4 linked regions of the Anolis sagrei genome follow. The protein of the gene in region 2 purifies or fractionates together with the protein of the main gene of each other region. This does not show direct contact. Links are inferred from orthologs where the notes say so. Each region holds a gene or a part of one and is shown on either strand. Other genes may lie near its edges.

Region 1 (7,857 bases), on a different chromosome or scaffold from region 2:
GGAAACAGTGAGCGAGACATATACACACAGGCAAAGAACTGCCTCAGAGATTGGAGAAAGGCACATCTTAGGACAGGTAAGAATTAGAATTGTTTGACACCTCTTTAACTGCCATGGCCCATTGCTAGGAAATCTTGGGAGTTATAGGTTGGGATGGCACTAGCCCCCTTTGGCAGAAGAGGCTAAAGACCTTCCCATAATTCTATAGAATTGACCCATGGAAGCTAAAGGGGCTGTCAAACTGGATTAACTTTACAATATAGATGCATCGATTTCCCAGGGTAGGATCTATACTAAAACCAACAGAGTTTGGATCTGCTATATTGGAAACCTTGAGTGAGACATATACACACAGGCAGGGAACATCTTTGGAGATTGGAGGAAGAAACATTTTAGGACAGGTAAGAATTAGAATTGTTTGGCACCTCTTTCACTGCCATGGGCCAATGCTAGGGAATCCTGAGAATTGTAGTTTGGCATGGCACCAGCCCCCTTTGGCACAAAAGTCTAAAGACCTTCCCATAATTCCATAGAACTGACCCATGGAAGCTAAAGAGGGTGTCAAACTGGATTAACTTTACAATGTAGATGCATTGATTTCCCAGGGTAGGATCTACACTAAAACCAACAGAGTTTGGATCTGCTATACTGGAAACCATGAGCAAGACATATACACACAGGCAAAGAACTGCCTCAGAGATTGGAGGAAGGCACATCTTAGGACAGGTAAGAATCAGAATTGTTTGACACCTCTTCAACTGCCATAGCCCAATGCTAGGGAATCCTGGGAGTTGCAGTTTGGCATGGCACCAGCCCACTTTGGCAGAAAAGGCTAAAGACCTTCCCATAATTCCATAGAACTGACCCATGGAAGCTAAAGAAGGTGTCAAACTGGATTAACTTTACAATGTAGATGCATCGATTCCCCGGGGTAGAATACATACTAAAACCAGCACACCTATTGGAGATGGCTAGTGAGACATAGACACATCTTAGGACAGGCACTTTAAGAGTGTATAATGCAGGCATGGACCAACTTGGAACCTCTATAATTCTACAGAACTGGCCCATGGAAGCTAAAGGAGGTGTCAAACTGAATTAACTTTACAATGTAGATGCATCAATTTCCCAGGATAGAATACATACTAAAAGCAACACACCTATAGGAGATGGCTAGCGAGACATTGACACATTTTAGGATAGGCAAGTTGAAAGTGTATAATGCAGGCATGGGCCAACTTGGGACCACCAGGTGTTTTGGACTCCAACTCCCACCATTCCTAACAGGCTCCTTCTCCCCCTTTCCCCCAGCCGCTTAAGGGGCCTGAGGCTGTTAGGGATGGTGGGAATTGAAGTCCAAAACACTTGGAGGGCCCAAGTTGACCCATGCCTGCTGTAGATTTATACTAAAACCAGCACAGTTTAGATCTGTTTATATTGGAGATGGCTAGCGAGACATTGACACATCTTAGGACAGGCAAGTTAAAAGTGTATAATGCAGGCATGGGCCAACTTGGGACCACCAGGTGTTTTGGACTCCAACTCCCACCATTCCTAACAGGTTCCTTCTCCCCCTTTCCCCCAGCCGCTTAAGGGGCCTGAGGCTGTTAAGGATGGTGGGAATTGAAGTCCAAAACACTTGGAGGGCCCAAGTTGACCCATGCCTGCTGTAGATTTATAGTAAAACCAGCACAGTTTGGATCTGTTTATATTGGAGATGGCTAGCGAGACATTGGCACATCTTAGGACAGGCAAGTTAAAAGTGTATAATGCAGGCATGGACCAACTTGGGACCACCAGGTGTTTTGGACTCCAACTCCCACCATTCCTAACAGGCTCCTTCTCCCCCTTTCACCCAGCCGCTTAAGGGGCCTGAGGCTGTCAGGAATGGTGGGAATTGAGTCCAAAACACCTGGAATGGAGGGCCCAAGTTGGCCCATGCCTTCTGTAGATTTATACTAAAACCAGCAGAGTTTGGATCTGTTTATATTGGAGATGGCTAGCAAGGCACTGACACATCTTAGGACAGGCAAGTTAAAGGTGTATAATGCAGGTATGGGCCAACTTGGGACCACCAGGTGTTTTGGACTCCAACTCCCACCATTCCTAACAGGCTCTCCCCCCTCCCTCAGCCAATTAAGGGTCCTGAGGTTGTTAGGAATGGTGGGAACTGAAGTCCAAAACACCTGGAGGGCCCAAGTTGGCCCATGCCTGCTGTAGATTTATACTAAAACCAGCACAGTTTGGGTCTGTTTATATTGGAGACGGCTAGCGAGACACAGACACACAGACAAGGAACTTCCTCGGAGAATGGAGAAAGTAGGAGGCATTTGGAAGCCCCTTCCTCGCTAGAAGGACGACTAGGCCGAAGAGGAGAAAGCAAAGCTCAGAAGAAGAGTCTTGGAAGTGGGGAGAAAAGGTGGGAAAGTATCCTAGTGCCACATTGGAGGGGCCATCTACACCGAGCATGGAACGCAGTTTCAAACCGGTACAGAAGAAAGTGCAGGCGATTGACAAGAGGACATCCATAGGAACCCATTTGCGGCCCTCGGGGAGGCGCACGTTGAGGGCGTCCTTTTGCGCGCTTTTGTGGGCATTCCCCCCTCGGTTTCGACCCGCATTGAATGCTGAGTGCAGACGGGGGCCCTGAGGGAAGCGGGAGAAAGGTCTAGATTGGGCTGAACGGGGCGGGGAGGCGGAAAGAGGCCCAGAAAAGCCCGCAAGCCAGGCAGGCAGGAAAAGGGCGGCAAGTTCAATATGCGAGGAACGGCTGAGGCGAAGGAAGGAAAGAAGGAAGGAAGGATGGCGGCGTGAGGCGGGGAAGGAGACGGAGAAGAGGCGCCAAACAGGCTCCTCGTCGGGAGCCCGAGGCGGCGAAAAAAGGGCCTTTTTCTGTCCCTTACCTGGAAAGCCGTGGCGGTGGGGCTGGAGCCGAGACAAGGCAGAGCCTCCTCTCTCGCCCTCGCTCTCTCTCTCTCGCCCGCCGCGCTCGGACACCACAGCCGTCGCTCGCGCCCGCCGCAGCCAATCAGCGCCCGCCGTGGGCCCCCTCCCTCCCTCCCCTTCCGCAACTCCCCCTCCCACCTCCCCTTCGGCGGCTTCAAAATGGCGCCAACTCGTCTCTTTCCGAGGGACCCCGCCGCTGAGCGGAGAGGCCGGCGCCAAAGTGAGGCAGCAGCGGCCCCTGCAGGTTGGGAGAGGAAGCGCAGGGCGAAAGCTCAACCAGGCATGGGCAAACTTCGGCCCTCCGATCCCCCTGCAGGTTGGAAGAGGAAGCACATTGCGAAAGCCCTTGGAATGGGGCTTATTTATTTCTCATGTCAGGGCAGCCAGTCAATTATGTTACATTTCTGACAGAACAAAGCAAACAAACAGAGAAAATACAAAATGTGTGAGTTTGGTAGTTGATTAAATGCCCTTTGACCAGTATCAAGGTGCTGGCGTTAGCCTATAAAGCCTTAAACGGTTCTGGCCCTACTTACCTCTCCGAACGCATCTCCACCTATGAACCGACCAGGACATTAAGATCGTCCAGGGAGGCCCTGCTCTCGGTCCCGCCTGCGTCACAGGCACGGTTGGCGGGGACGAGAGACAGGGCCTTCTCGGTGGTGGCCCCTCGGCTATGGAATGCCTTACCTGTAGACATCAGACAGGCCCCTTCGCTGCTGGCGTTCCGGAGGAAGGTTAAGACCTGGCTCTACGAACAAGTGTTTGGCTAAGCAGTGCAACTGAACACAGGAAGACAGTAAAATTGAACATAGGAAATGGTACAAGGATTATGAGAACGGATTCTGATTTGTTAATGAGGCGTTATGATATGATGTTGATTGTTTGATTTTGTCTGCTGTATATGATGTGTTTTAATCGCTTTATTGTTGTGATAACCCGTATTGTATAAACCGCATTGAGTCGCCTAATTAGGCTGAAAAATGCGGTATAGAAATAAAGCAAATAAATAATAAATAAATATCTGCCCACTTGGAGTGCTTCTGGTGTTGCTGCAAGAAGGTCCTCCATTGTTCATGTGGCAGGGCTCAGGTTGCATTGCAGCAGGTGGTCAGTGGTTTGCTCCTCTCCGCACTCGCATGTCAAGGATTCCACTTTGTAGCCCCATTTCTGAAGGTTGGCTCTGCATCTCGTGGTGCCAGAACGCAGTCTGTTCAGCGCCTTCCAAGTCGCCCAGTCCTCTGTGTGCCCAGGGGGGAGTTTCTCATTTGGTATCAGCCATTGGTTGAGGTTCTGGGTTTAAGCCTGCCACTTTTGGACTCTCGCTTGCTGAGGTGTTCCAGCGAGTGTCTCTGTAGATCTTAGAAAACTATGTCTGGATTTAAGTCGTTGACGTGCTGGCTGATACCCAAACAAGGGATGAGCTGGAGATGTCTCTGCCTTGGTACTTTCACTATTGGCTGCCACTTCCCAGCGGATGTCAGGTGGTGCGATACTGGCTAGACAGTGTAATTTCTCCAGTGGTGTAGGGAGCAGACACCCCATGATAATGCGGCATGTCTCATTAAGAGCCACATCCACTGTTTTAGTGTGGTGAGATGTGTTCCACACTGGGCATGCATACTCAGCAGCAGGGTAGCACAGCGCAAGGACAGATGTCTTCACTAAACCAGCATTTCTCAGCTTGGGGGGAGGGGGGGAACATGACAGAAGCCTTCTCGCAGGATTGCAAGACATCCGGGCATCCCCTGGGCAACGTCCTCGTAGACAGCTGATTCTCTCACTCCAGAAGCGACCAGAAGCGACTTGCAGCATGCAAACAAGCAAGCAAATTTTATTTTTTATTTATTTCGAGTACTTCAACCCCCCCCTCAACCCCCTAGGGGGGACTCAGGGCGGCTTACAACCAGCACAATTCGATGCCAACAATTCAACATAGCAGCAGTAATCACAAATAGTTAAAAACAATCAATTAATACAATAACAACTAAAAGTAAAGCCAATCTAGTGGCTAACATTCACTGAGTTCTAAAAATCCGTAAGTCCATTCAGCATTATCATAGTCCTTTCCAAACTCTGGTCGTCATTACCTTCTCAGTCTGTCGGATTACCCAAAGGCCTGGTCCCATATCCATGTTTTCAACTTCCTTCTGAAGGAAAGAGGGGATGTTGATGACCTAATTTCCCCGGGGAGTGAATTCCACAGGCGAGGGGCCACCACTGAGAAGGCTCTGTCCCTCTTCCCCACCAGCCTCAATTGTGATAAAGGTGGGGCCGAGAGCAGGGCCTCCCCAGAAGATCTTAAGCTCCGAGGTGGGACATAGAAGCAAACAAGCAAGCAAAACAACCAACGGACCTTTTCAGGACCAACCATAACAATAATCTCAATCAACATGTCAGCTGCCAAAGAACAACTGCTCTATAAACTGTGCCAAGATAAGAAATGTGATGTGCTGTGTGTCCAAGAAACACACAGGAATTAACAACAGAAATGACCAAAAGTTCCAGGAATGGTCTTAGTAGCAGAAAGACCACATGCGCAGTATAGAAGCGCTGTCTTTATAAAACCAGGCCTCCAAGTCAGCAGTGCCCACAATACTGAAGAAAACAATGTCGAGGTTATAACAGTAAAGTTTAATAACATCACCTCTGTGTACAACCCCCCAAATGAAGAGTTCTGCTTCTCCTCCCCCAAGAACTTTGACAGGCACCAAAGGGCGGTAGTAATTGGTGACTTTAACAGCCATAGTCATGTATGGGGCTATGCTCAAGAGGACAGAAATGGAGAGGCTGTCCTGTCCTGGTCTGAACTGCACAAACTATCACTCATCCATGATAGCAAGCTCCCACCATCCTACAACAGCAGGAGATGGCACCGAGGTTATAACCCAGACCTCTTATTTGTAAGCGACAGCTTTGAAAGGCAGCAGATCACAGGAGCTGTCTTTATAGACCTGTCAGTGGCTTATGATACTGTAAACCACCGCCTCCTCCTGAGAAAAATGTATAATATCACAAAGGACTACCATCTCACCCGCTTCATAGGAAACCTGCTACAAAACAGGAGCTTTTTTGTTGAGTTCCAGGGCCAGAGAAGCAGATGGTGGAAACAGAAGAACGGCCTGCCTCAGGGAAGAGTGCTTGCTCCATCCATGTTCAACATCTACACAAATGACCAGCCACTGCCAGAAGGGACAGAGAGTTTAATCTATGCAGATGATTGTGCCATTACCGCTCAAGCAGGGAGCTTTGAGATGGTTGAACAGAAGCTCTCCAAAGCTCTAGATCAGGCATGGGGAACCTTCGGCCCTCCAGGTGTGGTGGACTTCAACTCCCACAATTCCTTGAGGCCAAGGTAAGCCTTTGGGGCGAATGCCGAGCCTCAAGGAATTGTGGGAGTTGAAGTCCACCACACCTGGAGGGCCGAAGGTTCCTGACCCCTGCTCTAGATGCTCTTACTGCCTATTACAGGGAAAACCAGTTGATCCCTAACCCATCTAAAACACAGACATGTGCTTTTCATCTCAAGAACAGACAGGCATCCCGAGCTCTGAGGAAGAACAGACTGCTGAACAGACTGCGCTCTGGCACCACGAGATGCAGAGCCAACCTCAAGAAATGGGGCTACAAAGTGGAATCCACCACATGCGAGTGTGGAGAAGAGCAAACCACAGACCACCTGCTGCAATGCAACCTGAGCCCCGCCACACTAGGCATGCATACTCAGCAGCAGAGTAGCACAGCGCAAGAGCAGATGTCTTCACTGTATCTGGTTGTGATCCCCAGGTTGTGCCAGTCAGCCATTCAATGATGCCATTCATCCATCTTGCCCTTGGTCAGCCTCTCTTCCTTTTTCCTTCAATTTTCCCCAGCATAATTGTCTTCTCTAAGCTTTCCTGTCTCCTCGTGATATGGCCAAAGTACTTCAACTTTGTCCTGCATATCAGATATTAAATTACGACTCATAACAGTCCACATCAGCTCTAGTTAAACATATACCACCCAATAGTCGCCATCTGCTCACCCACAGAAAACCATATTTAGTAATCGAGAGTTATGGACCTTATTTTAGGTCTTGCGGCCCACAGGTTTGGAATCAAGCATGGGCAAACTTTGGCCCTCTGACCCTGCAGGTTGGGAGAGGAAGCGCAGGGTAAAAGCCCTTGGAATAGGGCTAAACCAGGCATGGGCAAACTTCTGTCTTCTGGGTGTTTTGGACTGCAACTCTCACAATTCCTAACAGCCTACCGGCAGTTAGGAATTGTGGCAGTTGCTGTCCAAAACACTCAGAGGGCTGAAGTTTGCCCATGGATGGTAAAGTTCATCAAACTCGCAAGACATGAGTTTGACCAATGTAATCTACACTATAGAATTAAGAAAGTTTATTTATTTATTTACATTTATATCCCGCTCTTCTCACCCGAAGCGGACTCGGCGTCTTACATAATTGGCATTATTCCATCCCCAAACAACAACAAGAATTTAAAGCAAGTAACACTTTAAAACAACTTTAAAACAATATATGTAAACATTAGATGACTATTGTGCATAGATTCAAAGCCAGCTAATCAAACAATCATATTCATCAATCCAGGGTCAATTCCCACCATGAACATTCCACAGAAATATAAATCTCACTTGCCTAGTTTCCAACAGACATCTCAACCTCAGAGGATGCCTGCCATAGATGTGGGCAAAACATCAGGAGAGAATGCTTCTAGAATGTGGTCATACAGCCTGGAAAACTCACAGTAAACCAGTCAGAGGTTTATTACAATTTGGTCAGAAAGGATTGAAGTACATGCAATTTGCTTCTGAAGGAGCAAGCATAAACATACAGAGAAATGCAGGACATCTTATACAGTTCTGGTTTCCCACTCCCTCCCCTGATTGGCTGAAAAAGAGGCTGAC
Region 2 (7,894 bases):
TCTAGAACATGGCCCTATAGCCCGAAAAAACCCACAAGAACCTAGAATAGAAGTTCTTTTGAGGCTCTTGGGAAAGATGGAGCAGAGTTTTTCCCAGACTCCTTCCACACAGATATATACAATCCACATTGAACTGGATTATATGACAAAGTGGACTCAGATGACTCAATTCAAAGCAGATATTGTGGATTATCTGCCTTGATATTCTGAGTTACATGGCTGTTTGGAAGGGTCCAATAAAGGGAAATGGAATAATACAATACACATTTTATTTTGGATCTCAAAGAGTAGGCCAACTACAGCCCTTTATACACTGCCATTTAAGATCCAAACTATTTGAACAGTTTGGGACCGCATTTCTGTGTACGAACCCACACGATCTCTTCGATCATCTGGAGAGGCCCTGCTCTCGATCCCACCTCCATCGCAAGCGCGATTGGTGGGGATGAGAGAGAGGGCCTTCTCGGTGGTGGCCCCTCAACTCTGGAACTCACTCCCTAAGGATATCAGGCATGCCCCAACACTGGCAGTCTTTAGGAGGAGCTTGAAGACATGGTTGTTCCAGTGTGCCTTCCCAGAATAATGAACCCTTAGCATTACCCTTAGATTACTACAGATGCAGACAGTGGCCAGAAGACGCTTATTTCTTGGGAGGAGAGCAATGTCCTGTCTCGATAAAATAGTAAAGAGCAGAGACATCAGACTGGCAACAAAGATCCATTGCCTAGTCAAAGCCATGGTATTCCCTGTAGTCACCTACGGATGTGAGAGATGGACCTTCGGGAAGGCTGAGCGAAGGAAAATCGATGCTTTTGAGCTGTGGTGTTGGAGGAAAGTTCTGAGAGTGCCTTGGACTGCAAGAAGATCCAACCAGTCCATCCTCCAGGAAAGAAAGCCCGACCGCTCATTGGAGGGAAGGATACTAGAGGCCAAGTTGAAGTCCTTTGGCCACATCATGAGGAGACAGCAAAGCCTAGAGAACGGAATGATGCTGGGGAAAGTGGAAGGCAAAAGGAAGAGGGGCCGACCAAGGGCAAGATGGATGGATGGCATCCTTGAAGTGACTGGACTGACCTTGAAGGAGCTGGGGGTGGTGATGGCCGACATGGAGCTCTGGCGTGGGCTGGTCCGTGAGGTTACCAAGAGTCAGAGACGACTGAACGAATGAACAACAACACAGCATTATGTCCTCCAAAAGCACTTTATACTGATTTAGCACTGCTTGTATGTTCCCTCCACGCCCCACCTCCTAAATATGTTTTGTTTCCACTGTTCAATGTTTATGCTATTTGTGTATGAGATTTATTTTAATTGTTTCGCATTAGTATTTGTTTGTTTTGATGTATTGTGGGTTCGGACTCATGTAAGCCGCACCGAGTCCCTTGTGTACCTGGTAGCGGGGTACAAATAAGGTTTTACTATTATTATTATTATTATTATTATTATTATTATTATTATCTGCTTTGCACTGGATTATGTGGCAAGCTAGAGTCATATAAACCAGTTCAAAATAGATAATGCGGATTATCTGCTTTGATTATATGGTTATCATAAGGTTATCAAAGCAGAAAATCCACATTTTCAGATTTGAAATTGATTAAATAGACTAAAATGATCAAGGGTCTGGAGAACAAGCCCTATGAGGAGCGGCTTAAAGAGCTGGGCATGTTTAGCCTGAAGAAATGGCTGAGAGGAGACATGATTGGTAAAGATAGTCCCCTGACATTAAGTCCAGTCATGTCTGACTCTGGGGTGTGGTGCTCATCTCCATTTCTAAGCCGAAGAGCCAGTGCTGTCCGTAGACACCTCCAAGGTCATGTGGCCAGCATGACTGCATGGAGCACCGTTACCTTCCCGCCAGAGCGGTACCTATTGATCTACTCACATTTGCATGTTTTCGAACTGCTATGTTGGCAGAAGGGTGAGAGGAGACATGATAGCCATTTATAAATATGTGAGAGGAAGCCACAGGGAGGAGGGAGCAAGCTTGTTTTCTGCTTCCCTGGAGACTAGGACGCGGAGCAATGGCTTCAAACTACAAGAAAGGAGATTCCATCTGAACATGAAGAAGAACTTCCTGACTGTGAGAGCCGTTCAGCAGTGGAACTCTCTGCCCCGGAGTATGGTGGAGGCTCCTTCTTTGGAAGCTTTTAAACAGAGGCCGGATGGCCATCTGTCAGGGGTGCTTTTAATGCAATATTCCTGCTTCTTGGCAGGGGGTTGGACTGGATGGCCCATGAGGTCTCTTCCAACTCTAGGATTCTATCTTCGTCTACATTGCCACTTAATCCAGTTCAAAGCAGATAATCTGGATTTTTTTATGGCAGTGTAGAAGGGGCCTTTGCCGTTCCGTTTTACTAGCAAACCAGAGGTTAAGACAACGCCTTCTAACAGAGTTGAACATATAAACTGCAACAGTTAAATGTACACAAGCATGTGGACAATTTCAACAGAAAGGAGGAAACCATGAAAATGAACAAAATATGGCTACCAGTATTAAAAAATTCTAAAATTAAAACAGCACAACAACAGAGAGTAAACAATCAGGCACATCTAATCACCTCTCAACAAAAGATTCCCCCAGGCACTGCCACCCCATCAAATGCTAATCAAGGTGGTCAGTTGAAACATTCACACCTAGCTCCAGCAGACAAGAGTTCTTTGTCCCACCCTGGTCATTCCACAGATATATAAACCCATTTTTCTACTTCCAACAGACCTCCCTACCTCTGAGGATGCTTGCCATAGATGCAGGAGAAACGTCAGGAGAGAATGTCTCTAGACCATGGCCATATAGCCCGAAAAACCTACAGCAACCCAATTAAATGTGTGAGGACACAACAGGTCACATGAAAACCATATATAAGATGCATAAAAATTCAGGCAAATTTGTATTGCTCATTTCACATAGCCTACACATATCAGTGTAGGCTTCTACACTAATATATAAAATCCAGATTATCCGTTTTTAAGTGGATTATATGGTAGGGTAGACGCAGATAATCCAAAACATGTGGATTATTTGCCTTGATATTTTGGATTATATGGCAATCTAGAAAGGCCCAAAGTTTAATGCAAGCAAGTAACTGGAAAAAAGGAAACGACTTGTCAAATATTTTATAGCCAACATGGAACACAAAGCTTCAAAATATTTATAAGTAAACTATACAAACTATCAAAAAGCTAAAGAGAAGAACACGCCGTTCTTTTGCCTTTACAGATTTGGTTCTTGGGAAAGACGAGGCTCTGTGTCCATCCCACAACAATAGAAAACCAAAATGAGATAAGCCGCAAACGAAGAACAGTAAAGTCTAATTCTTATTATCAAGTGTTTTCAAAACAATTTACAAATTGTTCTTCTGGTGCTCTCTGTTCTACTGCTGCGGTTTGCGAGATCAATCCTGTTCGTATTTCTTAATAAAGTTTTCCCCTTTTTTTCTTGTTTGCATGCATTTTTGAATCAGTACCATTGTGGATCCTAATTTGCACCGGTCACAGACTGCGAATAAATGCACTTTTGGACCAATGGGATTGCAGATCCCGGCACTGCACCAATCGCCTGTTTCTCATGTTCCCAAATGCATATGAATTCTCTATATAATACCCATGGTCTGTATTTGAAAGACACACTGGATCAATTTCTACTCCTGCCTTCTGCTTGTTTCATTGGACCAACTGGAGACCCCGGGATTTTGGAAAACAGCTGGGTAAGATTTCCTAAAGACTCAAGCTGGTTCTACACTGCCATGTAATACAAATGATCAAAGCGAGTAATCCACGTTACCTGCTTTTAAGTGGATTATAGAAGTCTACACTGCCATATAATCCAGTTCAAAGCAGATAATCTGGATTTTATATGGCAGTGTTTTAAGTGTTGTCAACTGGTTTTAATTCCTTTTTTTAATATAGTGTAATAATTTATTTTGGTACAATGAATTTGGTATTTTGTTATATACATATACACATACATGTCCATACACACATATATATACACTCACATACACATATCCACACATATATATACACTCACATACACATATCCACACATATATATCCATATATACACATACACATAAACATACACATATATACAATACACACATACACATATCCAGATATACACATACACATGCATATAAACATACACATACACACATATATATCCATATATACACATATACATATATACACATATATATCCATATATACACATATACATAAACATACATATATACAATACACACATATACATATGTCCATATATACACATACACATACATATAAACATACAGATATATACAATACACACATATCCATATATACACATACACATGCATATATACAATACACACATGTACACATACACACATATATATCCATATATACACATAAACATACATATATACAATACACAGATACACACATGTCCATGTATACACATACACATGCATATAAACATACACATATATACAAACACACATATATATCCATATATACACATGCATATAAACATACACATAAATACAATACACACATATACACATACACGTCCATATATACACATATACATATACATACACATATATATATATACACATACACATATAAAAACATACACACATACACACATATATCCATATATACACATACATATAAACACACACATATAGGTCCATATATGCACATAAACATACATACACACATATACACATTCACATATACACACACACACATATATAAATTTATATACACCCTAAGAATGCATGCTGCCTCAAGTCCCAATGGGGAAAAGTAGAGAGGGGCTGAGACTGAGTGGAGGCGTGGCTACCGCCTGCGAGGCCCCGCCCCTCCTTCCCTGCCTACAGTTCCCAGCCTGCCTTGCGCGCGGGTTAACCCTTCCGAAGCCGCGGCGCCGGGGCAGTTGCTGGTTGAGAGACGTCGCCGTGGACGAGGAGGAGGAGGCCTCTCTCTCTCTCTCTGCCTTCAGGGCTGAAGGGCGGCATGGAGAGGCAGCAGCCGGGGGGGCCTGGCCGGGTCCCTCTCCCTCCCTCTCCCCAGGAATGCCCCTCCTTCCCTCCCTGCCAGGCGGGGACCCGCGCCCATCCCGACGTGCGCCTGAAGACACGCGTCTTGGAGGTGCAGCATTCGTATCCCTCTCACAGCAGGCCTGGGCCAACTTGGGCCTTCCCTCCAGGTGTTTTGGACTTCAACTCCCAGAATTCCTAGCAGCCTCAGGCCCTTTTGCCCAAAGGGCCTGAGGCTGCTAGGAATTCTGGGAGTTGAAGTCCAAAACACCTGGAGGGAAGGCCCAAGTTGGCCCAGGCCTCTGCTCCACAGCCAAACCCCATCTAACCTGGGCAGAGCCAAGCAGAGGCTGGGTGGGCATCTGTTGGGAGGGTTTCGATGGTGCCTTCCTGCCTTGTGGGGTCTCTTCTGACACTTTGATTCTGGGGTTGCCTACCTTCTCTGCCCCCTCCATGGACACTTGAGGAGATGGACGAGGTGTGAATGAAGAGGAGAGCCATGACTGTCCAGCCTTGCTAGACTTTGCACCTGGGCAAGGAGGAGCACTGTTGTGCCATGTTGTGTACCTGCAAGTCTTTTATGACTTTGCGATGGAAAGACAGGTGCTGTTGTGTATTTGCAAGTCTTTCCTGGCTTTGCGATGGAAAGAGCGGTGCTGTTGTGTACCTGTAAGTCTGTTGTGTCCCTGCAAGTCTTTTCAGGTATACAACTGCAAAAGAACTGCTGTTGTATACCTGTAAGTCTTTCCTGACTTTGTGATGAAAAGAGCAGTGCTGTTGTGTACTTGTAAGTCTGTTGTGTATTTGTAAGTCTTTTCTGACTTTGCGATGGAAAGAAAAGTTCTGTTGTGTATTTGCAAGTCTTTTCTGACTTTGTGATGGAAAAAGTACTGCTGTTATGTACCTGTAAGTCTGTTGTGTCCCTGCAAGTCTTTTCAGGTATACAACTGCAAAAGAACTGCTGTTGTATACCTATAAAGTCTTTTCTGACTTGGCGATGGAAAGAGAGGTCCTGTTGTGTATTTGTAAATCTTTCCTGGCTTTGTGATGATAAGAGCAGTGCTGTTGTGTACCTGTAAGTCTGTTGTGTACCTGCAAGTCTTTTCTGACTTTGCAATGGAAAGAGAGGTGCTGTTGTGTATTTCCAGGTACTTTCTGACTTTTTTGGTGGAAAGAAAAATTCTGTTGTGTATTTGCAAGTCTTTTCTGACTTTGTGATGGAAAAAGTACTGTTGTTGTGTACCTGTAAGTCTGTTGTTTACCTGTAAGTCTTTTCTGACTTTGCGATGGAAAGAAAAGTTCTGTTGTGTATTTGCAAGTCTTTTCTGACTTTGTGATGGAAAAAGTACTGCTGTTATGTACCTGTAAGTCTGTTGTGTCCCTGCAAGTCTTTTCAGGTATACAACAGCAAAAAACCGGCTGTTGTATACCTTTAAGTCTTTCCTGGCTTTGTGATTAAAAGAGCGGTGCTGTTGTGTACCTGTAAGTCTTTTATGACTTTGCGATGGAAAGAGAGGTGCTGTTGTGTATTTGCAAGTAGTTTCTGAATTTGCGGTGGAAAGAAAAGTTCTGTTGTGTATTTGCAAGTCTTTTCTAACTTTGTGATGGAAAAAGAACTGCTGTTGTGTACCTGTAAGTCTGTTGTGTCCTTGCAAGTCTTTTCTGGTATACAACAGCAAAAGAACTGCTGTTGTATACCTGTAAGTCTTTCCTGGCTTTGTGATGAAAATAGACTGCTGTTGTGTATCTGTAAGTCTGTTGTGTACCTATAAGTCTGCTGTGTCCCTGTAAGTCTTTCCTGGCTTTGTGGTGAAAAGAGCGGTGCTGTTGCGTACTTGTAAGTCTGTTGTGTACCTATAAGTCTGTTGTGTCCCTGCAAGTCTTTTCGGGTATACAACAGCAAAAGAACTGTTGTGTACTTGTAGGTCTGTTGTGTACCTGTCAGTCATTTCTGACTTTTTGATGGAAATTTCTGTTGTGTACTTGCAAGTCTTTTCTGACTTGGTGATGGAAAAAGAACTGCTGCTGTGTACCTGTAAGTCTTTCCTGGCTTTGTAATGAAAAGGGAGGTGCTGTTGTGTATTTGTAAGTCTGTTGTGTACCTGTCAGTCATTTCTGACTCACCCCCCCCCATGAAAATTTCTGTTGTGTACTTGCAAGTCTTTTTTGACTTTGTGATGGAAAAAGAACTGCTGTTGTGTACCTGTGATGAAAAGAGTGGTGCTGTTGTGTATTTGCAAGCCTTTTCTGACTTTGCGATGGAAAGAAAGGTGCTATTGTGTATTTGCAAGTAGTTTCTGGCTTTACGATGGAAAGAGAGGTGCTGTTGTGTATTTGCAAGTAGTTTCTGTCTTTACGATGGAAAGAGAGCTGCTGTTGTGTATTTGCAAGCCTTTCTGACTTTGCGATGGAAAGAGAGGTGCTGTTGTGTTGCAGTTTTTTATGACTTTGCAATGGAAAGAGAGGTGCTGTTGTGTATTTGCAAGTAGTTTCTGACTTTGCAATGGAAAGAGAGGTGCTGTTGTGTTGCAGTCTTTTCTGACTTTGCGATGGAAAGAGGGGTGCTGTTGTGTATTTGCAAGTCTTTTCTGCTTTTGCAATGGAAAGAAAAGTTCTGTTGTGTACTTGCAAGTCTTTTCTGACTTTGTGATAGGAAGAGAGGTGCTTTTGTGTACCTGCAAGTCTTTTCTGCCTTTGCAATTAAAAGAGTAGAACTGTTGTGTAGCTGTAAGTCTGTTGTGTACCTACAAGTCCTTTCTGGCTTTGCGATGGCAAGAAAGGTGCTGTTGTATACCTATAAGCCTTTTGTGTCACTGCAAATCTTTTTTGCTTTTGCGATGGAAAGAGACATGCCTTTGTTTACCTGCAGG
Region 3 (7,777 bases), on a different chromosome or scaffold from region 2:
GCCTGGGGAAATTCTTTATTGGGAGGGTATTAGCTGGACCTGATTGTTTCTTGTCTGGAAGTAGCCAGTTTTTGAGTGATGTTTTTTATTTAGTCACAAGACCTAGGTGAGTGACCAAATGCACCTCACTCTCCAACTGGATCTGCAAAACTCCCCTATATATCAAAAGCATTGCATAAATTAGTATAAAAACTGACAAAAATAGAAGGAGCACAAGTGGCTAAATATCTTTTGACCAAAAATTGTCAACAGCAATCACATTGTCTGTAGCTTCAAACAATTCTTCCCTCTGTACATGAGACAGGACATTGCAGACAAGCATACAGATGCGGAGTTGTCTGTTCTGCTCCACAGTCACACAAGGTGAAGGATTCCTTTAGGTAGTGCCATTTTGCCAGGCTGTCTTTTGATCTGCCCACTCCACTTCTGAGTCTGTTCTTGGTTTGCCCCTGGAGGCAGACCCTCGTAGGGGATCATCCAACTGGGGTTTCCTGGTTTAGCTGCCCATAGGGATACTCTTGCTGTGGTTGAGAAGTTAAGAGGAGTAGTGATTCTCACGAAGCTTTTCTTGGATTTGAGTCTACCAGGGAAACTCCCAATTCCACAGCATAGAGCCTAAGGCAGTGAAAGTGGTGTCAAGCCACAATAATTCTACAGTGTAGATGCACCCCCAAGAAGCAAGTCGGGCATGTTTAGCCTGCAGAAGACAAAGCTGATAGGAGACATAATGAGGGCCATGTATAAATATGTGAGGGGAAGTCATAGAGAGGAGGGAGCAGGCTTGTTTTATGCTGCCCTGGAGACTAGGACACAGAACAATGGCTTCAAACTACAGAAAAGAAGATTCCACCTGAACATTAGGAAGAACTTCCTAACTGTGAGAGCTGTTCAGCAGTGGAACTCTCTGCCCGGGAGTGTGGCGGAGGCTTTTAAACAGAGGCTGGATGGGGTGTTGTAGGTTTTTTCGGGCCATATGGCCACATTCTAGAGGCATTCTCTCCTGACGTTTCGCCTGCATCTATGGCAAGCATCCTCAGAGGTAGTGAGAGGCTGGATGGCCATCTGTTGGGGGTGCTTTGAATGCAATTCTCCTGCTTCTTGGCAGGGGGTTGGACTGGATGGCCCACGAGGTCTCTTCCAACTCTAGGATTCTATTCAACACATCACAATAGAGTATGAGTCCACTTTAAATCCGATTGCTGCCTCCTGCAGAATTCTGGGGTTTGTAGTTTAGTGAGGCTGTTAAAGGCGCCTCCCTAAACTACAAACCCCAGAATCCTGCAGGAGGCAGCAACTGGATTTAAAGTGGATTCATTCTCTCTAATGTGATTGAAGTAGCATGATGCTAGGACAGTTGTGGTGTGATGAATTAGATGCTACTTCTATTATTGTATGACAGTGCATGTATTGACAAGTGTCAAGCCACTGTCAAGTCACTGCTCTCCATGGAAAAGCATGCCATTGTGTCATAAACACCCAGGGTTTTGTTTTTGTCCTGTCAGGAGCAACTTGAGAAACTGCAAGTCTCTTCTGGTGTGAGAGAACTGGCCGTCTGCAAAGACGTTGCCCAGGGGACGCCCAGATGTTTTGATGTTTTATCATCCTTGTGCATGTGGCCACATGCACGATGGAGGACCTTCTTGCGGCAACACCAGAGGCACTCCAAGTGGCCAGATCCTGGTCAAAGGACATTTAATCAGCTACCAAGTTTGCAAAATTTGTGTTGTTTTTTTATCTGTTTGTTTGTTCTGTTCTGTTGGAAATGTAATACAATGTTCTGGTTGCGGATGACACGATAAATAATAAATATCATCCTTGTGGGAGGCTTCTCTGGTGTCCCTGCATGAGGAGCTGGAGCTGATAGAGGGAGCTCATCCGCGCCCAGGGTGGCATCCTAGCAAAACAAGGCACCCCAGGTTCACTTCCTGACTGAAGAGGCAAAAGTTTAAATCTGGGGCGGAGGGGGGAGGAAGGAGGGGGGAAGGGGAAGTGCGAAAGTCACTCCCACAGCTCTTTCTTGACGCACGCTTCCTGCAGAGTCGACCCCCCCCCCTTCTTTCCCTCCCTCCCTCCCTTCTTTCCTTCCTTCCTTCCTCCCCCAGATTGCAACGGCAGTCCCAACAGTCTCTCCGGGTGGGCATCTGTGCAGGGCCCACGATGCCCCGCTGTCCTCCTTCCCCGCATCAGCCTCCCTGCCTGCCTGCCTGCCTTTCCCCCCTCCTCCCATTTCCCGGCTCCACAGCATAGCAACGGGGCTTCCCTTAACGTTCCGACCTGAGGCGCCCAGGCCCGAGCCAGGATGACACAGCCGGCGGTGCTCCTCTGAGGGAGACGAAGAGGCAGGAAGGAAGGAAGGAAGGACGGTCCTCCGGCTTCCCCTTCTTCTTCCTCCGCTGCCTCCTCACAGGCCGCTGGCGAAGGATGAAGGGAGGAGGAAGAGGGGAAAGCGCATCCTCCTCTCAAGTTCCCTCTTCGCAGGACCCTCTCTCTCTCTCACTCACTCCACATTCACGCCTCGTCTTACCCGAATCTTCGTCGCCCGCCAGCGGGCTCTCGTCGGTTCGTCGCCTCTGCCTTTCTTCGTCTCTCTCTCTCTCTCTCTCTCTCTCTCTCTCTCTCTCTGAGATGGAGGAAAAGGAAGGAAAGGAGGGAGGGAGGGAAGGGGAAAAAGAGATGGAAAGACACGGAAACAGGAACCCGCTCGCCGTTTTAGCGGGAGCCTCTGACGAGACTGGAGGAGAAAGAAAGAGAGAGGAAAGAGACCCTCCCTGACAGACAGAACAGAGAGAGAGAGGGAGGGAGGGAGGAAGGGAAGAGCGAGGGAAAGAGGGAGGGAGGGAGGGGGAGTTAAAAACGGAACGCGCGCGCGCACACACAAACACTCGCTCGCTCGCGCCCCCTTCCTGCGCGCGCGCACCAAAGGAACCTTCAAGGAACGGTGGTGGGCGGGCGCGCGCGCGCGCTCGCGAGAGAGAGAGGGAGAGAAGGTATTATTGGCCCTCGGCGCGTCAAGACTGGAGTCCAAAGGAACCCATAGAGAGGAGGGCGTGGCCTAAAGCGCGCTCTGGCTGTTTTTTAGGAGGGCAACCAATGAGAGAGGCGCCGCGTGAAATCTCCAGGCGGGCGGAACGTTAGCTTCACAAACCCGAGCGAGCAAAGGCGATGAAGAGCGGGCAAGGCGCATGCGCGCTAAGCAGCCGACTCCCCTTCGCCCTTCCCTTTTCGGTCCTGTCTGTTTAGGCGTTGGGTTCGGAGTCGGATGTGCTGGAGGGAGGGAGGGAGGGAGGGACGGGAGGAGGACGCGGGACAGGGCCATTGGTGGGCCTGTTTCTCCCCTCTCAGCCTCAGCGTTGGTCTTCTGCTGCTCCCGACCCCTTCGCTCTTGAAATACTTCATCACACTAGAGCAGGCACCCTCGAACCGCGGCCCTCCAGCTGCTTGGGCCTCCAACTCCTAGAAGCCCCAATGAGCTCGTCCAATTGTCAGGAATTCTGGGAGTTGAAGGCCCAAAAAGCTGGAGGGCCGCAGTTGGAGGGTGCCTGCATTAGAGAACGAATCCACTTTAAATCCGGTTTCTGCCTCCTGCAGAATTCTGGGGTTTGTAGTTTGTGAGGCTGTTAAAAGCTCCTCCCTAATCAGAGCTCTGCTCCATGGAAGAACCGTTCTGAGCAATGTCTGGGGTCTGCACAAGTTACAGCGCGATGATTCCACTTTAACTGCCATGGTTCCAACCAGGCCCGTAGCCAGGATTTTGATGGGGGGGGGGGGGGACTGAGTTTGCTGGGGTGGGGGGGCGCTCAGGGTCTACCCTAGCAAACCTTTTGCATCGTTATCCCAATGCCCCATGCATATGGGATATATTGAGCATGGTGATCAGATCATGATATGAATAAACATAACAGTTTAAATAATGTACCAGTAAGGCCTTCTCGCAGACCACCCTGAGAATTGGGGGGGGGCTGAAGCCCCTCAAGCCACCCCTCCCCAGCTATGGGCCTGGTTCCAACCCATGGAATGTGGGAATTGCCAGTTTAGGGAGGAGGATTTCAGATTCCCAGCCAGACAGATGTGCCTCTGACCAAACTACAAACCCAGGATTCCATAGGATGGAACCATAGTACTTCAAGTGGAATTGTAGCACTATAATTGTGTAGTGTGAATAGGCCCAGATTTTATTAGGCAGCCTAGAATCTAGAGCTGTGGTTCTCAACCTGTGGGTCCCCAGATGTTTTGGCCTACAACTCTCCAAAATCCCAGCCACTTTACCAGCTGTTAAGATTTCTGGGAGTTGAAGGCCAAAACATCTGGGGACCACACAGGTTGAGAACCACTGATCTAGATGAACCATTGTAAGTCATTTTGGGAATGGGTAAAGAAGGGATCACAGTTAAAATAAAGAGTGCTGCATGGAGTCCTAGACACCCTAAATGCACCAGATCTAATAATAATAATACTGGGATCTGCACGCATTAATCGCCGATACATCACACAGTCCTAGACACTTGGGAAGTGCGACGTGTGATCCAATACAACAGCCAGCAGAGTACCTGCTGTGGACTCATCTTGTTGTGTTTCTAATAATAATAATAATAATAATATAATGATTCATTGCAACTTGTGCCACAAATACCATCTGCCAGCAACAAAGAACTGGTGTGATCACAAGCCTAAAAAAGTTACAGAAAAACAACACGTCAAACTAGTCTGGGACTTCCGAATTCAGACAGACAGTTTTGGAGCCCAATACTCCTGACCTCACGATCGTGTAAAAAAACAAAATATGGATTGTTAATGTTGCCATCCCAGGTGACAGCAGGATTGAAGAGAAACAACTGGAAAAGCTGACATGATATGAGGATTTAAAGATCGAACTGCAAAGACTCTGGCACAAGCCAGTCAAGGTGGTCCCAGTAGTAATCGGCACACTGGGTGCAGTGCTTAAAGACCTTGGCCTGCACTTAAACACAATTGGCGCTGACAAAATTACCATCTTCCAGCTGCAGAAGGCTACCTTACTGAGATCTGCAAGCATTATTCACTGATACATCACAGTCCTAGACACTTGGGAAGTGTCTTACATGTGATCCAATACAACAACCAGCAGAGTGTCTGCTGTGGACTCGTGTTTCTAATAATAATAATAATAATAATAATAATAATAATAATAATCTTTATTTATAGACCGCTTTCTCTCCCCGAGGGGACTCAGGGCAGTTTACACACAAAAGAGGCAAACATTAAATGCCTAAACATCTCAAATAATGCAAAATAATAACTGTAAACTTACAACAGCAGAGAAATTAACATCAGAATGGGAAACAGAGTGCGAGTAATAAACATAATTATACGAATATCATAGTTAACGACATAAACCATAAGAGGGGGGCATCCAGTTGTGATTACCTGATAGACGAGTGGTGGTTCTTTTTCTTGATTTAAAGCCTACTGGGAGAACGCTGATAGCCACACAGTTGGTGGTTTTCACAGTGTTCAACCTTGTTTCTCTCCCAATTGACAGCAACTTCCTGTTGCACATTGGGGAGGGGGGGCAATGCCAGCTAGCTTATAAAGTCTATCAACAGCTGTAGGTTTAAGACATCCTGTGATTATTCTACGTGTCTCAGTGTCATTCACCTCCTTCTCGTGGGCAGACTTGTGCCAGATGGGACCATTAGTGAAAATACCTACAATTTTAAAAAGTTAATAATAAATAGATTTATATCTCGGTTCTATCATTAACCAAAATGGAAGCTGTAGTCAAGAGATAAAAGGATTTAAGCTTTGGGCCCCATCTATACTGCCAGTTTGAAACTGCATTATATGGCAGTATAGATGGGCCTTTGGAAGTGCAGCTAGGAAGAAACTAAAGATGTTTCATTGAAACCAAAGTTAGGCTCACCCACCCTTTACTATTTCTAATCTTAGTGTATAACCTGGAAGGCTGGAGAGTATAAAAAATTGGCCAGGGAAAAATTAACTCATTTGAAATGTGCTGGAGGAAAATTTTATCGATACCCTGAACTGCCAAAAAGATAAACGAACCAATCTGGGAGAAAATCAAGTCTGAATTTTCACTAATGGCTAAACTAACTATCATAAACGACTAAACCTCGGGCTATTGTATTTTGGACACATAATGAGATGACATGAATCTTTAGAAAAGATGATACTTCTTGATTAAGTGCGTGACAGCGGGCAAAGGAGACCACATTAACTTTGACAGCAAGGCTATTGATGATGAGGGTGGAGGCGTGTTCATTAAAAGTAGCTTGATGGCAAATAACACCAACAAAGAACCATACAAGACCTTAAAGGGTAATGTTAAAATCTGTTAAGTTAGGAAGTATAGACAGTCCTCCACATTCGCTGGAGTTAGGGACATAGGATCCCCAGAAACCGAACAAAGGGGAGAGGAGGCGGAGTAGCCTTATATGTCAAAAACTCATGCTGCAGAAGAGATTCAAGACAGCAATCTGGGAAACCAGCTTGAAATCATCTGGATAAGAATCAAGGGAACTGGGACTCAAAAAGATGTCGTTGTAGGCGTCTACAACAGACCCCCAAGCCAGGAGGAAGAACTTGATGAAGTCTTCTGCCAACAGTTGACCAAACAGGCACAGAGAAGAGATGTAGTAGTCATGGGCGATTTCAACTATCCCGATATTTGCTGGAAAACAAACTCGGCCAAGAGTACAAGGTCCAACAAATTCCTCACTTGCCTTGAAGACAATTTCATGGTCCAGAAGGTAGAAGAGGCAACAAGGGGATTGGCTACTCTTGATCTCATCCTAACAAATGCGGAGGACCTGATCGATGCGGTCGAAGTGGTAGGATCCTTAGGGGCAAGTGACCATATGCTCCTGCAATTTGAGGTACAAAGGAAGGCCGAAACGAAGACAAGTCAAACCCGCATTTTGGACTTTAGGAGAGCTGATTTCCAAAAAATGAAGGAAACACTGAGCAGCATTCCGTGGACACAGATACTAAAAGACAAGGGAGTTACGGATGGATGGGAATTTCTCAAGAATGAAATACTCAAGGCGCAATTGCAAACCGTGCCAACAAAGAGAAAAAATAGGACAAGTGCAAAGAAGCCAGAATGGATGTCCAAAGAACTTCTAACTGTGCTAAGACACAAAAGAGACATGCACAAGAAGTGGAAAAAGGGAGAAATCAGGGAGAAAAGGGAGAAGAATTCAAACAAATAGCCAACACCTGTAGGGAAAAGGACCGCAAGGCTAAAGCAAAAAATGAGCTCAGACTTGCCAGGGACATTAAAAACAATAAAAAGGGCTTCTATTCTTATGTCAGTAGAAAAAGGAAAAACAAGGAGGCGATAGGACCTCTTCGAGGAGAAGATGGGGCAATGCTGACAGGGGATAGGGAAAAGGCAGAACTACTTAATGCCTTCTTTGCCTCGGTCTTCTCACAAAAAGAGAGTCTTCAACCTCAGCAAGATGGAGTGGATGAGGGATTGGAGGACATCCAACCCCAAATTGGGAAAGAAGTCGTCCAGGAATACCTGGCCGCTCTTAATGAGTTCAAGTCCCCAGGGCCAGATCAACTACACCCCAGAGTATTGAAGGAACTAGCGGAAGTCATTTCGGAACCTTTGGCAACCATCTTTGAGAGTTCTTGGAGAACGGGAGAAATTCCAGCAGATTGGAGGAGGGCCAATGTGGTCCCAATCTTCAAGAAGGGAAAAAAGGATGACCCAAACAACTACCGTCCGGTCAGCCTCACGTCGATACCAGGCAAGATTCTGGAAAAGATTGTT
Region 4 (7,183 bases), on a different chromosome or scaffold from region 2:
AACTCTTTAAATGTTTTTAATTATATTGATAATCCTATTTTAAGTTTTGTATGTTTCAACAATGTGAACTTTTAGCTGGATTCAACATTGGTAAGTTCCTGGGGCGGAAAGGAAAGAAAGAAAGAAACAAATAAATAGAAGACAACTTGGGTTCTAGTAGTAATTGCACTCTGGAGTAATTCCAAATGGACAGATAAAACAGCTGGATGAAATTACCACTAAAGGGATCTCAATATAACTGTATCTCCCTATGGGAGATAGGGCAAAATATAAATAAAGTCTTATTATTATTATTATTATTATTGTAAAAAGTTACACTATCTGATAACATCTCACTGATTTCTGGGCCCCTTCTACACTGCCATATAATCAAGATTATCAAAGCAGATAATCCACATTATCTGTTTTGAACTGGATTATATGAGTCTACACTGCCATATAACACAGTTCTATAAATCAAAGGTAAGTGTACAGTTGACCAAAGAAATATGGAGGTTATTTCAGGAACACTTACAGATCATGCAAATTCACTAGACAATGATGTAATAGGAAATAATTGCAACACAATAGAAAAAAGTTCTTAGGTTAACACAACCTAAAACAGCCTGGAAGTTACATGCAACTTCTTCTTGCCCCCCCCCCCCCTTAATTTATTTTGTTATTACTACCTTTTTTCAACTTCCCACTCCCCAACCCCCGTCTCTTTCCTTTCCTACTTTCCTTCTCATATTGTTCTCACACTTTTGATATAAACCTATCATGATTTTACAAACTTTCTTCACACTCCAACCTCTCGGAGCCAAATTATTCTTAATAAAAATAAGTTGGAAAACAATTGCAATCAAAATGGTTATGGGGAGTGAGACAACTGGAAGTGAGAGAAATCTTCCCCTTGGAAGAAAAATTTGCTCATGACAGTTATCATGGGGGGGGGGGGGGGAGATGTCTCCACTGAAGCTTTCTCAGTAATCTTTGTTTCCGTAACAAGTCAAAATTTTCAAAATCCAATTCTCACAAGGACATAAAGTGAGGTGAAATCTTCTGCAATGTTTAGCACGGAGCGCAAAACAAAGACCACAGGGGAGTTAATCCTTCCCTATGCTATCCAAAGCATGCATTTTTAAGTATAACTCCAGCCAGAATATACATATACATATATATCTATACCTATAGTAAAGGTAAAGGTTCCCCTCTGACATTAAGTCCAAATCCAGTTGTGTCCAACTCTGGGGGGGGGGGGTGATGCTCCTCTCCATTTCTAAGCCAAAGAGTCGGCATTGTCTGTAGGCGCCTCCAAGGTCATGTGGCCAGCATGACTGCATGGAGAGCTGTTACCTTCCCGGTGGAGCGGTACCTATTGATCTACTCACATTTGCATGTTTTCGAACTGCTAGGTTGACAGAAGCTGGGACTAACAGCGGGAGCTCATGCCGCTCCCCAGATCCAAACCTGTAACCTTTCAGTCAGCAAGTTCAACAGCTCAGCGCTTTGACCCACTGCACCACTGGGGGCTCCACCTCTCTCTCTCTCTCTCTAAATATATATCCTGGCTGGAGTTACACTTTAAAAAGAAATCTGATCCATCTTAGAACCAAAGACAACTTAAGAACAAACTTACAGAACCTCCCTTGCTCATAACTTGGGGATTCCCTATACTTTCCTGTTGCAAATTTCTCAGGGAAGTTTATAAATGAATTAAAAAACAACAGAAAAATAGCAGAATGGTGCCAATACAAAATCCCTATCTGTAGAGTCTATGGATGACCACCGCAATGAAGAAACATAAGAAAACGAAGAACTCTTGTTTTTACTACAGTAGATGTGCAGAGTGCTATTGAAAGGGGATTCATTATTACCCACAATAGTCTTCACAGTTTCAGCTCTGTTTCCATGATATCTCCTGTGCCATTATATGTTTCGCCCACCTTATTGAACCATTTATCCTTTAATCAGTTCGTATGTTGGCCTCCTTCCTCCCTCCAAAATTGGTCTGCTGTTGCTTGATACTTGTTTATTACTGTTACGCTGTTTTGTGCTATTTTAATTTGTTGTTCTTTTTGCTTTTAACTATATGTTGCTTGGGCTTGGCCCCATGTAAGCCGCCCCAAGTCCCCTTGGGGAGATGGAGGCAGGGTAGAAAAATAAAGTTCTGTGGCAACTTGCAACATATTCAATACTACTGTATTTTTGTGGCAAAAACTATATAAATAAACTATACATAAATATGGGTCCCTGAGAACTGAAAGGAGAAGAGCGCAGCTGCATTAAGAAATCAAATAAAAAAGGAAGGCTAAACTCTCATGAAGGTGACAGAATATAAAATCTGGGGTGGCCTTGTTGCTTAGGCAAGGAATCCTCAAAGATGTGTGCATCTACACTGAGGAAATTGATGCAGTTTGACACCACTTTTACTGCCGTATCTCAATGCCATTGAATCCTGAGGGTTCGGTTTTACAAGACCTTTGCTTCCAGAGTGTTGGTGCCTCACAAAACTAAAAATCCCAGGATTCTTTAAAACTTAAGCATTGGCAGGTAAAGAGGTGCCAAACAGCATTAATTCTTCGAACAGCTGACCTTTCAATCAACAAGTTCAGCAGCTCAGCGGTTTAACCCAATGCATCACAGGGGGCCCACATGCCTGAAGTGGGTTAAACCGCTGAGCTGCTGAACTTGTTGACTGAAAGGTCAGCTGTTCGAATCAGGAAAGTTGTGTGAGTTCCTGCTGTTAGCCCCAGCTTCTGTCAACCTAACAGTTCGAAAACATGCAAATGAGTAGATCAATAGGTACCATTCTGGTAGGACTGTAACAACGCTCCATGCAGTCATGTTGGAAATAATATGATAGCTGGGTCCGGAAGCTCCGAGTGTTACAGAGATGCCGCATCGCTTGTTCGGGAGTGCTGTTTGTGCAAGAGAGACTTAGCTAATGTAAGCCAGGCCGAAGACAGATAATATAGAAGGAATGTAAGAGTTCTTTAATGGTGAAACCCTAATCTTTACCCTAACCGTGAACCGTACCGTAAGCCTAACCCTAACCCCTTACCCAAAACCTTGCCCTAACCCAAACCCTAAACATTACCCTAACCCAGGGATCCACAAACTTTTTAAACAGAGGGCCAGGTCACAGTCCCTCAAACTGTTGGAGGGCCGGATAATAATTTGAAAAAAACATTTAGAATGAATTCCTATACACACTGCACATATCTTATTTGTAATGCAAAAAACACTTTAAAACAATACTGACAAATATAAACTTATTGGTTTTTTTTTTTTGGTATTTCAATGGGAAGTGTGGGCCTGCTTTTGGCTGATGAGATAGGATTGTTGTTCTTGTTGTGTGCTTTCAAATAATTTCACTGAGGTTGACCCTGAGCGAGGGCCGGGTAAATGACCTTGGAGGGCCACATCTGGTCCACGGGCCTTAGTTTGAGGACCCCTGCCCTAACTCTTATGCTAACCCAAATCCTAAACCTTACCCGTACCCTAACCTTAACCCTAACCCAAATCCTGAACTTTGCCCTAACCCTTATCCTAAGCGTCCCCTCCTTTCTATCCTTCCTTCGCTCTCTCTGCTCTCACTCTGCCCTCTCTTTTCCCTTATTTATCATCTTTGCATCATCTCCTTAACACTTGGGAGCTTCTGGACCCAGCTATCATACTATCAGTCATGCTGGCCACATGATCTTGGAGGTGTCTGTGGACAATACCGGCTCTTCGGCTCAGAAATTGAGATAAAACCAACGCTCAGTCGGACATGACTAGACTTAAACCTTTACCTAGATAAGGCATGAGCAAACTTTGGCCCTCCAGAAGTTTTGAACTTCAACTCCCACAATTCCTAACAGCTTCAGACCCCTGAGGGGAAAAGGAAAGGAGCTGAGGCTGTTAGGAGTTGTGGGAAGGCTGAAGTTTGCCCATGCCTGAATTACTATGCTAATGCAGCTTTGGCACCACTTTTAAGTGCCTCACTTTGGAGACTGAGGGTGCACCTACACTGTAGAATGAATGCAGGTTGATACCACTTGAGCTGACATGGAATTGTGGGATTTGTAGTCTTGCAAGGCCTTAGAAGTCCAAGGGCATTCCTCCAACTGCATTGGTTCTGCTGCCTGGAGGAAGGCGCGCGCTCCTCAGATCAGGCAGCCGCCTCGCGCCTTCCCAGCATGCACCAGGCTGGGCGGAAGTGCTCCCGAGGGGCGTCGTCGTGGTCGGTCGCGGCCTCAAAATGGCGGCCAAGGCGCCAAATACGATTTCGGGAGAGTGAAAGAGAGACCGGGAGCCCAAGTTTGGTGATACTGGCGCTCCGCGGCGGCATGGACGCCTCGGCCTGCATGAAGTCGCTGCTCCTGGCGGCCTCTCAGTACCGGGCGGCTCGCACCCAGCCCAACGCGGCGCTCCTGCAGCGGAGCCTGGAGGTAGGAAGAGCAGGAGTTCGGGAGGAGGAGGGGGCTTCCTTCCATCCTTCCTTCGGCCTCTCTGTCCGAGGCAGGCCTCCCGCTCTTGGGGCCTCCAACTCCCAGAAGCCCTCGCCTGCTTGTTCAGTGGGAGTTGGAGGGCCGCAGTTTGAGGAGGCCTGGTCTAAGTCTCCTCGCCCTCTTTATCAATAGGCAACTATTATAAACAATGACTAATTGTGATCTTTACATTATTAATTGTTGCAAATTAAATGATTAAATATCCTTAAACGACATCACAACCTCTGAGGATGCTTGTCCCATTTCTTAAGATTGGCTCTGCATCTCGTGGTGCCAGAGCGCAATCTGTTCAGCGCCTTCCAAGTCGCCCAGTCTTCTGTCTGCCCAGGGGGGAGTCTGTCATCTGGTATCACCCACGGATTGAGGTGCTGGGTTTGAGCCTGCCACTTTTGGACTCTCGCTTGCTGAGGTGTTCCAGCGAGTGTCTGTAGATCTAAGAAAACTATTTCGTGATTTAAGTCGTTGACGTGCTGGCTGATACCCAAACAAGGGATGAGCTGGAGATGTCACTGCCTTGGTCCATTCACTATTGGCTGCTACCTGACTATCGGCAGATGTCAGGTGGTGCAATGCTGGCTAAGCAGTGTAATTTCTCCAGTGGTGTAGGGCGCAGACACCCTGTGATAATGCGGCATGTCTCATTAAGAGCCACATCCACTGTTTTAGCGTGGTGAGATATGTTCCACACTGGGCATGCATACTCAGCAGCAGAGTAGCACAGCACAAGGGCAGATGTCTTCACTGTGTCTGGTTGTGATCCCCAGGTTGTGCCAGTCAGCTTTCGTATGATATTTTTTCTAGCGCCCACTTTTTGCTTGATATTCAGGCAATGCTTGTAGGTCAGAGCACGGTCCAGAGTGACTCCCAGGTATTTGGGTGTGCAGCAATGCTCCAGTGGGATTCCTTCCCAGGTAATCCTCAGAGCTCAGGATGCTTGTCTGTTCTTAATGTGAAAGGCACATGTCTGTGTTTTAGATGGATTAGGGATCAGTTGGTTTTCCCTGTAATAGACAGTAAGAGCACCTAGAGCTTCCACATAGATGCAGGCGAAATGTCAGGAGAGAATGCCTCTAGAACATGGCCATATAGCCCGAAAAAACCTACAACAGCCGAATTTAATGATTCATACTTATGATCTTTCAAAGCTCTCCCTGATCTTTCAAGTGATCAGTCTTTTAACGGGTACTATTTGTCTGCTGTTCAGAAAAACAGCTTTCCTTTAGAATCCTCCTGTGGGTTCTTTCTTTTTTTTAGCATTGTTGACTTCTTTGAGGGCAGAGTCGTGTTTTAATCCACTGTTTCCCAAACTTTGGCCTTATCCACACTGCTGAATAAAATCCCACATTTCCTGCTTTGAGTTGGGATATATGAGGGTTGAATGAAAAGTAATGCCTCCACTGTCGTAACTCAACATATGGCAGTACTGGTATGTGGCAGGTACTGGCTTGTTCAGTAGATGCTCCTCTGCAGTTCCATTTTGGCGGGAAGCCTTATCATTGAATGGTTGTGTTAAAGTGCGAAGCATGGAACCCTGTGCAGGTGGTTGGTCAATGTGACAAGCAACGTGCAGTCATTGAATTCTTGACAGCAGAAGGTGGCACCCCTAAGGAGATTCATCAGAGAATGCAAGCTGTTTATGGTGATTGTGTTAATGTGAGAACTGAGTCGTTGGGCGAGTAAGTTTAAAGATGTTGAGGTGACACCTGCTGTCAGGAATTAAATGACTGCACGTTGCTTAAGTCGCATTGACCGACCATCTCTGCAGGGTTCCATGCTTCGCACTTTAACAACACAACTGTTTAATGCTAAGGCTTCCCACCAAAATGGAACTGTACTGGCTACCAGTACTGCTATCTATTGACAAGTTTCGAAGGTGGAGGCATTGCTTTTTATTCAACCATCATATGACAGTGTGGACTCGGGGCCCTTCCAGACCGGCCCTATATCCTAGGATCTGATTCCAGGTTTTCTGGTTATCCCAGTTCATCTGACAGTGCAGACTCACATAATTCGATTCAAAGCAGAAAACCTGGGATCAGATCCTGGGATATAGGGCCTGTGTGGAAGGGCCCTATATCCCAGGATCTGTCATCTGGTATCACCCACGGATTGAGGTGCTGGGTTTGAGCCTGCCACTTTTGGACTCTCGCTTGCTGAGGTGTTCCAGCGAGTGTCTGTAGATCTAAGAAAACTATTTCGTGATTTAAGTCGTTGACGTGCTGGCTGATACCCAAACAAGGGATGAGCTGGAGATGTCACTGCCTTGGAGAGCCACAGCTTCCAGTTGAGTTGACAGTTATTTGGATCAACTGGTCATTACAAAACACTTTACTATATTCCTGAAATTTGAAAAAAAAGAGATTTATTTATTTATTTACTGCGCTTATATACCGCAATTCTCAGCCCTAGGGCGACATTGCACCACCTGACATCCGCCGGGAAGTTCTGCTATGAATTGGAAAGTGTAATTTCCTACTATCTCTAATCCTTGTCTATGTGTGTCCTTAAGTTGCCTGTTGACCTATCAGATCCTGGGATATAGGGTTTATCTGGAAGGGCCCTCAGATAGCCCAGTTCAAAGCAGATATTGTTGGATTTCTTTCCTTGATATTCTGGGTGGAAGGGCCCCTTGTCTTCCAGGTGCTTTGGGCTCTGGTTCCCAGCATTCTTAGCTGTTGTTCCAGGCTGTCTGGAATTGAATTTGAATT

What was found.
Region 1: the proteins of SLC30A4 (region 2) and PDS5B purify together in Homo sapiens (affinity purification with mass spectrometry; 3 studies listed by BioGRID and IntAct, counting the BioPlex papers as one, with this or other methods). This does not show direct contact. The link is inferred for Anolis sagrei from reciprocal best matches to the Homo sapiens genes SLC30A4 and PDS5B.
Region 3: the proteins of SLC30A4 (region 2) and FUT8 purify together in Homo sapiens (co-immunoprecipitation; 3 studies listed by BioGRID and IntAct, with this or other methods). This does not show direct contact. The link is inferred for Anolis sagrei from reciprocal best matches to the Homo sapiens genes SLC30A4 and FUT8.
Region 4: the proteins of SLC30A4 (region 2) and CIP2A purify together in Homo sapiens (affinity purification with mass spectrometry; 3 studies listed by BioGRID and IntAct, counting the BioPlex papers as one, with this or other methods). This does not show direct contact. The link is inferred for Anolis sagrei from reciprocal best matches to the Homo sapiens genes SLC30A4 and CIP2A.

Annotation. Positions count from the first base shown.
Region 1 is NC_090023.1:33,552,320-33,560,176, reverse strand, and holds the start of PDS5B (sister chromatid cohesion protein PDS5 homolog B), read right to left. Parts: upstream 3,019-7,857; 5' UTR 2,904-3,018; intron 1-2,903. UniProt on the Homo sapiens protein: Regulator of sister chromatid cohesion in mitosis which may stabilize cohesin complex association with chromatin. May couple sister chromatid cohesion during mitosis to DNA replication.
Region 2 is NC_090029.1:31,684,744-31,692,637, reverse strand, and holds the start of SLC30A4 (probable proton-coupled zinc antiporter SLC30A4), read left to right. Parts: upstream 1-4,884; 5' UTR 4,885-5,136; intron 5,137-7,894. UniProt on the Homo sapiens protein: Probable proton-coupled zinc ion antiporter mediating zinc import from cytoplasm potentially into the endocytic compartment. Controls zinc deposition in milk.
Region 3 is NC_090021.1:280,572,247-280,580,023, reverse strand, and holds the start of FUT8 (alpha-(1,6)-fucosyltransferase), read right to left. Parts: upstream 3,016-7,777; 5' UTR 2,525-3,015; intron 1-2,524. UniProt on the Homo sapiens protein: Catalyzes the addition of fucose in alpha 1-6 linkage to the first GlcNAc residue, next to the peptide chains in N-glycans.
Region 4 is NC_090023.1:46,980,311-46,987,493, reverse strand, and holds the start of CIP2A (protein CIP2A), read left to right. Parts: upstream 1-4,179; 5' UTR 4,180-4,313; coding exon 4,314-4,415; intron 4,416-7,183.